Linked DNA regions of Saccharomyces cerevisiae S288C. The gene in region 2 interacts genetically with the main gene of each other region. Each region holds a gene or a part of one and is shown on either strand. Other genes may lie near its edges.

Region 1 (4,866 bases), on a different chromosome or scaffold from region 2:
ATTAATGTCCCCACGTTACACTGTATATGACAGTATATACTACTGACATGAATACTAGTCGATAGTTAATACATGATTCTTATTACAACATGATGATTACAGTCTCGTCTTGGTCTGTTGTTTGACCCTACTATTTTATGCTATTTTTTGTATCTGATTTGAATTCAAGGCAATTGTTGTAATTCCATTCTTGGCATAACCCTGTGTAGATTCTACAGATAAGCTGCTTTTTTCTTTGAGTGGTGCCCCCGTTGTTTATTACCCGTCAGTATCATAACATTTGAGCATCTCACATGGTTACGAATGTAAATATGAATCAAAGAAGGTGCAAAATCAAAAAAAATCGAAAGATTTGACATGCCTATTGAAAAGGGAAAGTTGTATATCTATCAATTGTTAATTAGTTACTTGGTCATCTCCATTACCAGCTGAGGTGCTTAGTCGACAACCGCATTAAACATGAAAGTGGGTATTATAATGGGTTCTGTGAGGGCAAAGAGGGTATGCCCAGAAATTGCAGCATACGTAAAACGTACAATTGAAAATAGCGAAGAATTAATAGACCAGAAGCTGAAAATACAAGTAGTAGATTTACAACAGATTGCTCTTCCCTTATATGAAGATGATGACGAACTGATCCCTGCGCAAATAAAGAGCGTGGATGAGTATGCAGACAGCAAAACTCGATCGTGGAGTCGCATCGTAAATGCATTAGATATTATTGTATTCGTTACACCTCAATATAATTGGGGGTATCCAGCAGCCTTAAAAAATGCAATTGATCGTCTTTACCATGAATGGCACGGAAAACCTGCCCTGGTGGTAAGCTACGGCGGTCATGGCGGTAGTAAGTGTAATGACCAACTTCAAGAGGTACTACATGGTTTGAAGATGAATGTTATAGGTGGAGTGGCGGTGAAAATACCGGTAGGTACGATACCGTTACCCGAGGACATTGTACCACAACTCAGCGTGCACAATGAAGAGATCCTGCAATTACTCGCATCGTGCATCGAAACAACGAGGAATAAATAAACCATAAAATTTAACTGTAGTCGCAATAAAAGATGAAAAGCTAACACAATTATCATAGGACACTGTAATCCAGACTTTAATTAGTATTAAGTATTGAGTACAAAGTACAAAGTATTATACTAACGGTAGTTTGGGCTCTTCGATTACCCATACACTTTTAATGGACTAATTTCATCAAGTTTCATTCGAAAATTTTCTTAAAATATATATATGCGTAGTGGTATAGTATTCATATTTCATGAACTTATTTCATAAAAAAAGATAAAGCAAACCTAATATTTGGATCGGCGCTCGAAATTATTCTCAGTATTCTTCAGCATTAGACATCTTTAACATATCAATCTTTAAAAGGTTTCTTCTTCTTCTGTAGCTCGGAATATAAGCATTCATATATGACCATGTTGTAACGCGATCGAACCAAGCAACTTCTTCTTGTGCAAATTTCCTAGCAATACCAGGCACACCTCCTTGACGATCAAATGCAATTCTTTCAGTCTCTTGTTCAAAATCTTTTTGACATAAAGCCAGGTATTTTTCCTGTTGTTCAGGTTGCAGTTGAAGATACTGCTGGTAGGTGATTTCTTTGTAATAGACAGTCTTCATTTGAATATGTTCGAGACTTTTTCTCTTAATCTCTATGAATATTTTCTGTCTTGAAGCTGCCGTCTTCATAGAATGTTGTTCTATTATCCACCTCGAACATGGCCTTTTTATACGTTTTTACATTAAACATCCCCTTCATATTAGTTTGTTCTCGACTTAATTCTACTCATGCTTCTGACATTTTTTCATGCCAAGACCGGCCCTGAAAAAGGGTCCGGATATACGGATAGCGCCACACATTCAATTAGGGGAAGTATTATTTGATACATTGTCAGCACACAGCGATTTAACCCATTATTTGGCATGACAAGCAAGCTATTCGACAGTGAAAAATGCACAGAACATTCAAAATTATACTTATAATATGACTCTTTTCTTTTATTGCAGTTGGTATTATATACATATATATATATATATATATATGTATATGTTCCCCGAGACAATGGTTTTATTTCCAAAAAAAGTGTAAGTAAGTTATTTTCTGTGTATAAAAAAATAAAAGAAGCCAGATGAAGTGCCAGGTGGCGTACCAGGACTTCAGCTTTCTTTAGTTTGCATAATGAAAGTATCACTTACAGCTCCCTTGAAGGATTAGACGCTATTAACCCCGATGAAAACGCATCAACAAAACCTTTAACACAGTACTTATTTGGTGCAATACATACTCACACAAACACCTGTAGAAAATCCCCTTATATGAAAATCCCTTTTTTTTCTTGGCAAGTATTTCTGATAAAATGCGGACAACATTACCTGCTTAGCCGCCTGCCACAGAAAATAAGTAGGCTTCTCTGTAAAATGGAATAATAGGCTAGAGGTCAAAAACCTCCTCTTCAGTCATATCTATGTTTTTAAGGGTCTAGGGTCCAATTTGATGGAAAAGAACAAATGGTCGAGCATGTTAATTAATATTTGTTGCTCTGTTTGAAGAGTATATTATAAGACGAGAGGTTCTTTGAGGGAGCTTATCTTACCTTTTCTTGATTTGAAACAATTTCATTAAATGTAAACAATTATCAACTAGAAGCAAATATAAAGCCAGAAGGAAGAATTTGCTATGAACATTAAGACTTTGTGTCATCCAGAATATAAAAGAATCTCCGTTGAATCGTTATTGAATCCGGTAGAGGAGACAATAGACTGCGAAAAACCTCACTCTCAAACAAAAATCAATACTGCTAAACCCATTAGTGCATCTTTGTATGTCACAACGAATAATACTGCTGTTGTTCAGCACAATGTCCAAAAGAGGAAAGGCGTCACCAGGAGATGTCCACAGTGTGCGGTGATAAAAACTTCTCCGCAATGGAGAGAGGGTCCTGATGGAGAGGTGACATTGTGTAATGCCTGTGGATTATTTTATAGAAAAATATTTTTGGTTTTTGGCAAGGATCTGGCAAAACGGTACTTTAACGAAATAAAAGGTGTGAGCGTCAAACGAAAAGTTCCAAAGAGCCTCTATGGAGTTACAAGAACGCGTTAAGAGAATTTATTTCTGCTCGGAATGTTATATACTTATGTCAAAGCAGTGATTATACATTTATCGACTTTAAACAGTTGATAACGAACATTATGTGTTATTCGAAAGTCAAAGTGCCATACAAAACAAGTGGTTTCTCAGTTCTTGCAATTTTTCTTTATCAGCGTAGTCCCAGAAAAAAAAATCATCACTGGAAATGTAAGATGAATTCAAGTATCAAGTGCCGTTGGTATTATAGTTTATCAATTAATACGTAAATATATATATATATATATATATATATATATATGACTATAGTGGCATACTTCTCAATGGACTGTTGCTTCTATCATTTTATACATGCGTTCAACTTTGAAGATTATCACAAAAACCTCAAACTTTTCAATTAATCTGCCCCGGTCATTTAAGTTAGCTCTTTTAGGACTCTCATGTTTTCAAAAAATAGATTGAAAAGAGCATTGGTGGCCCTACTTTCAATCCATTGATCATGATTCTTCGAGCTATCGCTAAAATATTCCACCGGATTCAGAGTTCTTTCCTTTACTGATATCGTAAGAAGACTCGCCTTCGTTTCCGTTACCAGACCTGACAAAAAACTCATCCCATACAGATCCCGAAGTAACCTGGAAAAGGATATCCATGATATCTTGATTATTGGTATACGACTGGCAATTCAATGCAGAAGACGTATTTGTAGAAGCACTTTCATTTATCACTTGATTACCTTCGCTTACATCTAAAGTATTAAACTGGGAAACATTGCTGTGTTTTTCCAGTTCGGTAAAAAATTCATCTAGAGGTATATCAAAAGGTGCTTTTTCTTCAAAATTGGTTCTATTAAAAACCTTGTTATCAAAAGTACCGTCGTCAAAACCAAGTACGTTCGTTTTTTTATCATAACTTGACATGCGGTTTGCCTGAGAGGTTAGGGGATTTGAATCCGAAAATATCCCTTTGGCATCATTTATTTGCATAAATTTTAACTTTATTACAACTGATGATAAAATTTTGTAACTCGTGTAACAGGTTTTCGCAGATTCGCAAAAACCTATCAGATTCTTCAGTACTATCAACACTTTTTCAGTGTACTCTGACACTTTTTCTTGACAATCATTTATGTTGTTTTTTGAGTAAAAATTTACGTAAAGGTAAGTCATACCTGTCATGAACATGTTATGAACTGCTACCCACGTGTAACCAATTTTTTTATTGACACAAAGATTGTAAAATACGTCTATGGTGCCCTTCGTACTGTCCAGGACAATTTTAAAAGCGGTATCATTCAAAGTAGGGAATTTTGGAGAAAGTCCATAAAGAATGCTCTTCGAGTAATGATAGTTCAGATCAAACCAGATGCTGTTAAATTTGCAATTCATCATCTCAAAGTTTTTGGGAACGTCCACTTGGAACCAACGCTCAAGCTCATTGTAGGTTTCAATCCGCCAGCTCTCGAGATCCATAAACCTCCTCGGCAATTCTGCACCGGGCGCGTAGAGTATTCTCACTATACTAGCTTGGATTCTTCTGATTTTATACATGGCCAATGCGATAACTTTTGAAGACGGATTTGGGCTTGGTAAGTCTGAGTAGTCGTCAATTTCTCGGTTAGTTAATGTGATGAAGGAATCGTCCAAAAGGCTAGGATACCTGGTGGTGATGCTTTCTTCAGGTATACCAAAAGGTCGACCAAAATACGAGCAAATTTGCCGATCTAAGGAGTAAACGCACCAAAATAGACGCCTGCGTAT
Region 2 (4,820 bases):
TCGGCCTACTCATAAGACAGTCATAACAGAAACTGTCACGAAGTATTCTACAGTCTTAATAAATGTCTGTAAACCAACATATTAAGAAATCTGGAGTACAATTTCTTTATAGCATATAAATATCAAATATATAGTCATTTTTAATACATGGAAAGCATAATAAAAAAACAAGGGGAGTTTTACTGATATCATTGGGATATATAAAACAAAATAGTAATATTATGCAGCCATCACAATTTTGAACAAGTAGCACATTATTCATTGAATAAATGCTAAAAAAATCTCCGCGACGGGGAATTGAACCCCGATCTGGCACGCGACAAGCGCCCATTCTGACCATTAAACTATCACGGAATATTAGATGTGATATTGTTGTATCTCAAAATGCGATACGTCAATATGACAATACGTCATCCTAAACGTCCGTAAAACACATATGAAACAACCTTATAACAAAACGAACAACATGAGATAAAACCCGGCCTCCCCTAGCTGAACTAACCAAACGTATAAATGCCTGAACAATTAGTTTAGATCCAAGATTCCGCGCTTTCACCATTTAGTATGATTCATATTCTATACAATATATAAGATAAGTAACATCCCGTGAATTAAGCTGATAATCCGTTTTGACAGCTCGTTACTTCCCTAAGACTGTTAATAATAATAAGATTGTCAAGACACCCCGGTATTACTCGAGCCCGTAATACAACAATTTTTTCATTTCACTTATCCTTTGTATTTTATGTACAGTAAAATCTGTCATCTGAAATAAGGACCTTGTTGAAGAAAGACTTTGTTGTGTCGGAATGTTGGAATAAAAATCCACTATTTTCTATCAACTAATAGTTATACTATCAATATATTATCATATACGTTGTTAAGATGATGACATAACTTATGAGAAGCTGTCATCGAGGTTAGAGGAAGCTGAAATACAAAAATTGATAATGTAATAGGATAACGAAACATATAAAACGGAATGAGGAACAATCGTAATATTAGTATGTAAAAATATAAATTCCACTTTGAGGATTCCTATGTCCTCGAGGAGAACTTTCAGTATATTCTGTATACATAATATTATAAGCATTTATCAACAATGGAACCCCCAACAATTATCTCAAAATTCACCCATTTCTCAAATATTATATAGCCTTTACTAACAACGGAATTCCAACAATTATCTAATTATTCATTAAATGGCCAGGAAAGTCCTGGCAGAGGGGTACTTTCATCAGTAAAGGAATAATTGTCCCAGTACTCCCCCGCATCATAAACCCACTGGGTTGCATTCTCCAAAGTTGGCACTAGATGAGTTGCTATTAATTCCTCCGTGCAGCCATTTATAGCGGACACATTTAAAACATAGTCACCTAACATTGGGTTAGTTGTATAAGATAGATAGCTAATATCAGGCGTGGCATTCCCCCAAATAATCAATAAGTTTGCTGATTCATTACTCATCAAAGTAGTTATACTGGGATAGTTCATGTCAATGTCCATTTCTTTTCAGAAAAACAGACTGTTAAATAAAACAGGCCTTAAACTTCAATTTTTGAACTTTTTTCTACTTTCTGCCTTTAGCTCTGTTGTCTCATTAAAATAGTACATAATTTGTGCATAGCTACTTGTAAGAAGCAGTCGAGTAAATGTTTGGAAGCTGTTTGCAACCACATTTTAAATGATATCCTTTATGCGATAATCTCATCTACCGTAAAATACGAGCTTCTATGGCCAAGTTGGTAAGGCGCCACACTAGTAATGTGGAGATCATCGGTTCAAATCCGATTGGAAGCAATTTTTTTTCTTTGAAAGAGAATCTTTTTCAAATACGGAAGAATGAAGAAGTATCGACAATGCAAATTACCTTAATGATCTCGTCTAAAAAAATTTTGAAGAGGAATTATTCTGATTTACACGCAAAAAGTGGCAATAATCTACTCTTTAATTTGGTATCATTGTTTGTCTTAGTACTTAAATTGTGCCTCTGGAACTGATCAAATTCCTTTCTCCATCACATGAGTACGAGGAGGGGTGTTAAGGAATTAAAGACAGTCTACTAAAACTATTTCCCTAAGCATGCTTAAATCATTAAAATCCAGAAGACTAATCTTAAAACGATTAGTAACACTGCTGCTCTCTTTATTCTTTTCTTATCTCATTTTCTCTGCCAGTCGGAATGTTACATCATCCAATAAATTAAACAACCATGCAAGCGAGAGGACAGCTGTTGAATCATCTGCATTCAATTGGATTGAAAAACGACAACACCAAGTGAGATCCGAAAACTTAATGAACAGATTATCTGCCTACTTTTTGCCCTTTTTGAGTAGAAGTTCTCACAAAGAACGTGTATTGTTGAGGCAATTAGGAAATAATGAAATAGCGAAGAGTGACAAGTGCCGTTACATTTTTGAAGTACTATACAAGATTGATCCCGACTGGGACAATGCGCAAACTGCAAAATTTTATAATGTTGATGGTGTAGATAACACGTTGGCCTCATTGTTAGGGGAAAGATTAAGATCTTATGATTATTGCTTTTTATCTGGTCAATTAGATCCTACTGCAATATTTGCAAATTCAACCGTAAATCCTCATGATTTGCAAAACAGAATGTTTCCATTTCTGAAGAAAATTAACGAGGAATCCAAAACTGTAATGTGGCCTATTATCACAGACATGACAACTGGAGAGGCAGTTCCGGCACCCGAGGTTGATATGGAATCATCAAACTTTAATGGTAACTTTTGGTCCAACTGGAATAGGTTGAGCAAAGGAAGAGGTTTTGTTTTAACTATTGCTGAAAAGGATGTTCCTTTATTTTTGAAACAGTTGAAAGTGATGGAATTTTCAAAAAACGAATTACCATTCCAAATAGTATCCACGGGAAATGAACTATCAGCAGAGTCTATTGCTAAAATTTCTGAGACCGCTAAAGAAACGGAACAAAGGGTCTACTTAGTAGACTGCTCGACAGTGCTTGACACTAATTTTGCTAATACATACATTTCTTTTTTTCAGAATAAATGGGTCGCCACTTTGTTCAACACATTTGAAGAATACATTTTGTTGGATGCAGACGTAGTACCGTTTGTAGGGTCTGATTACTTTTTCGACTCTCCTTCTTACAGGGAGAGCGGGATACTTTTGTTCAAGGATAGGGTTATGGAAAACGAGCAAACTTTCCAATACTGCATCGAAATGTTAAATGAAGTGGAACCCTCTGCACAAGAACGCAGATTTATTGGAAGTAGGTTAGTTTTTGATTCGTCATTACCGTTTTCTTCCGAAACCTCAGAAGAAGCATCTGTGTATTACAATTTTTTCAAAAAATTACGACTCCATCATGTTGATAGTGGTTTGGTTGTAGTCAATAAACTTGAGAAATTAAATGGATTGTTGATGTCTTTTATGTTAAATTTGGATGGAAAATTGCAGAGGTGTGTGTATGGTGACAAGGAAATATTCTGGTTGGGGCAATTATATGCTGGCCAGGATTATTCTATCAATCCCGTTGATGGCAGTATTATTGGACCTGTTAATGAAGAGCCTGAAAATGATGACGGACATAAAAGCGGGATGTACTACATTTGTTCTACGCAGATTGCACACAGTGACTCCAAAAATCGATTACTATGGGTAAACGGTGGACTGAAGACTTGTAAAATTTCGAACAGTGCTGAAGATGACTTTGGAAGAGAGCCAGAGTATTTTAAGAGTAGATATGGGGACATTTCAAAATTAAAAAGGATATATGATGCTTCGTTGAACGTAGAGGGACTAATCGTTCCTGACGTTTCTGTTCATCCATGGATGCAAATCAAGGAATGTTCTAATTATATGTATTGTGCATATGCTACGGGTGACGGACACACAAACTCTGAACTTGACGAAGGTCGTCTAATCACGTTTACTGAAAAGGAATTACGATATATCAATGATATTTCTCGAACCTGGAATGCTAATTGAGAAAAAAAAAAGTGAAAAGGAAATGAGAGTATTAATATTTATTAAGTATGGAGCATATATAATCCGAAAAATGATTATAGATTAATTTAGAATATGATTTGGGAATAAATTAACAATTAGTTTAAAGCAGAAGGCAGCCGGATGAGGAACAAGAACTGTTGAATAGTATTAGGTAATTTTGAATGTTTTCTAACGGAACGCTATTCACTGATTATACGCTTTGTTCGTTTGGATTATGAGATGTTTTGGACCGCCTCATTGATGGGATACACTTCTTTATACCATCAATCACAGAAGGCCAAATTTTTTTGATGTAGGTTAGGTAGAAGCCCACAAACATGGCGGCAATGTTAAAGCAAACGAAAACCCATTCAAAACCAAAATTTCTCCATCTGTGATGATAACTCATATTTTCTTGAGCAAGGAAGTCATCCCCAACAGTGTACATGCAGTAGGCGCAGACGGTGTATGTGTTATTGATGTGCAGTTTCCCACCAAATTCATCAATAAAGGGTTTCATAAACTGACCGCAGGTTTGACCCATTACAGGTTGGCTTGGTACCATTTCACTTGTCGAGCAGTTTACTTCTCTGTCATGGAGAAGTAAGCTTACGAAAGTTTCAATGAAATACGTGTATGGTGAAACCCTGTACATGAATGTCCAAAATCTTGGGAATAACGAGTATGGTTGCATAACGCCACAGAATGAAGCTGTGAAACTATAGAGGAAGGCAACAAAGACAGCGGCAGTTTGTAAATCGGGGGCAGAATATAGAAGCCACAACCCAAATGACAAATAATACATGGAAAATAAAATATAATTCAAGTAAAAGACACCAGCTACA
Region 3 (5,611 bases), on a different chromosome or scaffold from region 2:
ATTCACAATTTCCAACATTTAAAAGTGGCGATCGCATAGTAAAAGCGTTAAGAATGATGCTACATCCCACATGAGAGTGGTTCGATTATGCTGAATTTCAACACCAATTCAATATACTTTAATTTAAACAGACATTTATGATGCCAGAGACATAAAGGATCCGAAAGGTTTTAGGAACACCTTAGTGGAAAATCATTTTAGCGTGGCCGGGAGTACCAGATTTTTCATAGTTCCCTATTGCAATCAATTTGGATTTTTGCTGGCGTTGCATCATGGCTATGTTATCCAATGCATGCCAAGAGTGATTTACTTAAAGAGTAACTTCGTTACAAAACATTACGTTATACTTCAGTGCGATAATTTTTCAGATATCAAAAATTATACTACATTATACAACAAAAGCGTGTAGGTTTACCTATTGCTTATAAGACTAGAACAACTCTTGGTCAAATATCTTTATTCCATATGTCGACTATTTGTGAAAGCCGGAGCTTTTCGTCTTCTTTAAATTTGATCAACTTTCCAAACTCACCTTCCTTGAATAATGTGCAATAATTGAACAAAAAACACTCTCCTGAGTTAATCCATCCTGATATACTAGTATCTGGTATTATAATCCCTTCAAGTTTTACTGGTGATGCATAATATTCACGTAATTCATCTGCATTTTGGAACATATCATTTAGTCTCTGTCTATGCTCATAATCGTATTCCCATGAAGTTTTTTTACAAATATTAAGGCCCCCGTTTAGCCATAGCAAGGACCCGTCCCTGTCTGTATGAGATAGTTGCACAGAACAAATCTGGTAAAACTCACCGGTACTCTCTTTTGAAACTACATTGCCCAACTGACCAATGTTTGATGCATCCACAGGATGGAACGTAAAGCGATTGTTCGAAAGTAATTCGCCCAGCCAAAAAAAGTCCTTATCACCATGAAAATATTCTGCAATTGGAGAAAATTGTAAAGCTATTGAAGTAAGCATACTGAAGAGATGCTTTCCTTTATGCAATATTACCAGGCCGCTTTCCAAATGATGTTTATATTTCTTTATAAACATGTTTTCCAGAACCTGTGCAACCACTGGATCCTCTACTTGCTCATGTATCTTGGATTCATCCTCTAAATCAAGCCCAATACACCCATAGACAATTTCCCTTAGAATTTTTAATTCAGAGGATTCAAATAGATCATCTGATATTACCCGATCTTTAAAGAATAGAACTCCAGTCTTTTGAAATTCCTCTAATTCATAAAATTTTTCTATTGAAACAAAGGGCACTGTATCTGAGTCCATTAGAATAGGAATTTCAAAGGATGAGAAGGTCAATGCTAACCACTTGTTGGAATAGGTGGTAAATTTTTTCGAATATTTCGGGTTTAGCAGACTATGTACATTTAAAAACCATAATTCTTGAGCAGGATATTCAGCGGTGTCTAGACTTCTCGCATATTTGATAATAGATTTCATGGAATCTTGACTCAGATCTGCATTATGAACAATCTGTATAGGATAATCATTTTTGATGAACCTCAACACTTTCAATAAGCGTATGGTTTCATTCAACTGCACGTCAGAAGCACTAATAACTATGCCTTTCGAACCACTTTGAGTCACAGTGTGCAACCAATTCTCCCAAAAAGATAGCCCTGTATCGAAATTGATGGGCTTAGAACGAAGGAATTGATGGTTTTTGGGGTCAAATTCCAACATAGACGCATGGTAAACCTCGCCATTCCATCTCGTAGTTGTGTGCCAGAAGGCACTTTCATCAGTTTCTAATTTTTCAAAGTTAATATACGGAAAGAGCTTCTTTTCAATATCCCTCAAACGCTGAATATTATGCCCATCAACCTGCTGCAAGCAATTAAAAAAAATCTTAATCCTCGTAACCAGTTCAATCACATCTTTTGCAGGATTCGGGGTTATTTGATTTACGTCGTAGAAGTCATTCAACCACCCAGGCGTAAGACCTTCATAGTAACTCCAGCAGCCACCATTGCCACTGCTGCTACTTTGAACTGGTTCTACCAAATCTAACGAATTCAACTGAGAGTAATATACTACTAACACAATTCCCAGTAGTACAACTAATATAAACAGTCGATTTTTTCTTCTCATATTCGATAAATACTATTGGGGCTACTTTTGTCCTGTCACTGCGGATTTGCAAACACTCATGCGAATATTTTACTCAATTGAGAGATTTGCTGTCTCCCCCCACTTCGATGGTCCCCACCCCTAAAGTAAAGGAAAGAAGAATTAGCACTGTTTTAGTTCCAGGTACTTCTTTCTTTCTTTACCGGTATTGTGTGGCTCATCAAAACTTCGTCTCGGGAAAATGAAAAATGTAAACAAGAATTTCCGTTTCAAAGAGTTGCCTAAGGCCCACTAATAATGTACTTATTATTTACAATTCGGAGAACGCTGCTGATAGAAATCAATCAAGAAGTCCCTTAGTCTTTGTGTGTTTACGCCATATTGCTTAGTTTCGTAGTGCGTTACAGTTCTATCGTGTGAAAATTTTTTTCTAATGCATCAGCTGTTATGCGCACTACTTGAAAGGTTATCGAGCGTTTGTAAAAAGTAGAAGTACTTAAATGAACCTTCACGGTTAAGCAACCAGTATAATTGAGGCTGCTGATTTGAAATTGCGTTTTGTGTTCAGAAGGATCCCCGGAGGCCTTCAATGAGCTTCCATTTTATTTTCTCCAAGGAGGCCATTTTTTGTAGTGTGATGTTGACATGGTTATAACTGTTAGCAGTGTTTGTGATGATGGCTGTAGTATCACCGCAGTGGATTAGCTATGAAAAAAAAAAAAAAGAACTAGTTTTTAGTTCGCGCATCACGAGGTACGTGTTTAATATGTCAGATGCTTGGGATCACGTATGCCGTTAACTCTACAAAGCAATTGATATTTTGCTGCCTCAAATATCTCACACTACTAGGATATATTCTTTTATCAAACAGGAAAAAAGGGCAGCGTACCAACATGTATAAAAGGGTTATTAGCATTTCTGGTTTATTAAAGACTGGAGTCAAACGTTTTTCTTCTGTCTATTGCAAAACAACCATCAACAACAAGTTTACATTTGCAACAACTAATAGTCAAATAAGAAAAATGTCTTCCGTTACTGGGTTTTACATTCCACCAATCTCTTTCTTTGGTGAAGGTGCTTTAGAAGAAACCGCTGATTACATCAAAAACAAGGATTACAAAAAGGCTTTGATCGTTACTGATCCTGGTATTGCAGCTATTGGTCTCTCCGGTAGAGTCCAAAAGATGTTGGAAGAACGTGACTTAAACGTTGCTATCTATGACAAAACTCAACCAAACCCAAATATTGCCAATGTCACAGCTGGTTTGAAGGTTTTGAAGGAACAAAACTCTGAAATTGTTGTTTCCATTGGTGGTGGTTCTGCTCACGACAATGCTAAGGCCATTGCTTTATTGGCTACTAACGGTGGGGAAATCGGAGACTATGAAGGTGTCAATCAATCTAAGAAGGCTGCTTTACCACTATTTGCCATCAACACTACTGCTGGTACTGCTTCCGAAATGACCAGATTCACTATTATCTCTAATGAAGAAAAGAAAATCAAGATGGCTATCATTGACAACAACGTCACTCCAGCTGTTGCTGTCAACGATCCATCTACCATGTTTGGTTTGCCACCTGCTTTGACTGCTGCTACTGGTCTAGATGCTTTGACTCACTGTATCGAAGCTTATGTTTCCACCGCCTCTAACCCAATCACCGATGCCTGTGCTTTGAAGGGTATTGATTTGATCAATGAAAGCTTAGTCGCTGCATACAAAGACGGTAAAGACAAGAAGGCCAGAACTGACATGTGTTACGCTGAATACTTGGCAGGTATGGCTTTCAACAATGCTTCTCTAGGTTATGTTCATGCCCTTGCTCATCAACTTGGTGGTTTCTACCACTTGCCTCATGGTGTTTGTAACGCTGTCTTGTTGCCTCATGTTCAAGAGGCCAACATGCAATGTCCAAAGGCCAAGAAGAGATTAGGTGAAATTGCTTTGCATTTCGGTGCTTCTCAAGAAGATCCAGAAGAAACCATCAAGGCTTTGCACGTTTTAAACAGAACCATGAACATTCCAAGAAACTTGAAAGAATTAGGTGTTAAAACCGAAGATTTTGAAATTTTGGCTGAACACGCCATGCATGATGCCTGCCATTTGACTAACCCAGTTCAATTCACCAAAGAACAAGTGGTTGCCATTATCAAGAAAGCCTATGAATATTAAAAAAATCGAACGAACTCATAAACGTCAATTATGCGTGTGCCTTATTTATTTAGTTGTGCGTACAGTATAATGCACTTATTTATTTACCAATCAAATGATTTTTTTAACTTTTCACGATCTATATAATTACGTTAATTTCGAGTATATAACAATGAAAATATATATCTACGTTGTTTTAAATTGAAAAAAGAAGAACGGAAGTTCTATTAATGAGCCGAGACCGGTACGTTTGTTGAAAATAGTTTGGACTTAATTACTGACATACTGTTGGCTTTGAAGCATTTAAGACTGAAAAATAGTCATGCAAAAGTCATGCTTTAATATGGTGGGTTTCAGTTGGATGCAAGAAATAAAATGAAATTCGAAGGCCTTTTGCAATTAAACAAGGCATCGTCAACCAGACAATGTCGAAAATTTTGAGTCAATCTAAATCAATCCACCGCCACACTGAATTCTGTCAATGATATTGTCTTCCTTTTTTTGGTTTGATATCTCTAATTTTCAACCTGTTATAAGCAACGTCAATCCGATTACTTTCGTGTGTCATTCACATGCGCATATTTTTTTATTCGTTTTATGATATAGCTGTCTTTATTATAACCTCGAAACACAACGGCAATGTAACCTTACCAGCCGCATTATTACAAGGAGCCCACTTTATTTTCAATTGCTATCGCTACATCGCAAATGCTACAGCACCCCCATCAGACCTTGAAGTATATATATATTTAATAATAAATACATTATTGGAATGGCTAGTAAATTTTGACATAAACATGATTTCCGAACGAATTAAAATACAGTTGATTTAGGAGAAAGTATCAGTACATTGCTAAAAATTTTAAGCAAATGTTAAGTGAAAAAGGCTTATCATTCAGATGAGCTTAAGAATATACTTTTTGCGTTATTCAAGAGCGATGATTATTACTGAACTACTGTGACGATATCAGCAGCATGCCTGATAAATAAATCTGTACATTCGTGGAAAGTAGTATGTACTTTTCAAATATTTCTAAGAGCTAATGATATTTATTTGATATTTATATCGACAAATGAATCTTTTTCATAGAAGCCGTTATGAAGACTCCAAATAGCAATACTCAAAATATACTATAAGATCTCCGACCAGGTACATAATACATGACACAGCACAAATAACCGACCAACTGACAATAGTAGAAAGTAGCGGACGGTGTCACACGGTTTTCTCGTCCACATCACTGGAAGTAAGCAATCTCTTGGCCAGCTTTCGGTGATCCAAATATTATATCAGACCAGTTTCATTATTCTCGGAAGTAGAGTCGAATATTTCCTATTGTATAGTGCTAATGCTATCAA

What was found. Genes that interact genetically often act in the same process or in processes that back each other up.
Region 1: mutations in YIL014C-A (region 2) and YLR012C together harm fitness more than expected from each alone (negative genetic interaction), as found in Saccharomyces cerevisiae (one large-scale study listed by BioGRID).
Region 3: mutations in YIL014C-A (region 2) and ADH4 together harm fitness more than expected from each alone (negative genetic interaction), as found in Saccharomyces cerevisiae (one large-scale study listed by BioGRID).

Annotation. Positions count from the first base shown.
Region 1 is NC_001144.5:168,644-173,509, forward strand, and holds YLR012C (uncharacterized protein), read right to left. Parts: upstream 1,639-4,866; coding exon 1,339-1,638; downstream 1-1,338. Other genes in the region: LOT6 (flavin-dependent quinone reductase), read left to right, coding at 460-1,035; GAT3 (Gat3p), read left to right, coding at 2,696-3,121; PPR1 (Ppr1p), read right to left, coding at 3,625-4,866.
Region 2 is NC_001141.2:324,021-328,840, forward strand, and holds YIL014C-A (uncharacterized protein), read right to left. Parts: upstream 1,507-4,820; coding exon 1,192-1,506; downstream 1-1,191. Other genes in the region: aspartyl protease BAR1, read left to right, coding at 1-85; alpha-1,3-mannosyltransferase MNT3, read left to right, coding at 2,083-3,975; ATP-binding cassette multidrug transporter PDR11, read right to left, coding at 4,187-4,820.
Region 3 is NC_001139.9:12,035-17,645, forward strand, and holds ADH4 (alcohol dehydrogenase ADH4), read left to right. Parts: upstream 1-3,124; coding exon 3,125-4,273; downstream 4,274-5,611. Other genes in the region: alpha-1,3-mannosyltransferase MNT2, read right to left, coding at 447-2,123. UniProt on the Saccharomyces cerevisiae protein: Alcohol dehydrogenase specific for ethanol. Acts mainyl as a mitochondrial formaldehyde dehydrogenase and has no effect on ethanol production. Shows drastically reduced activity towards primary alcohols from 4 carbon atoms upward.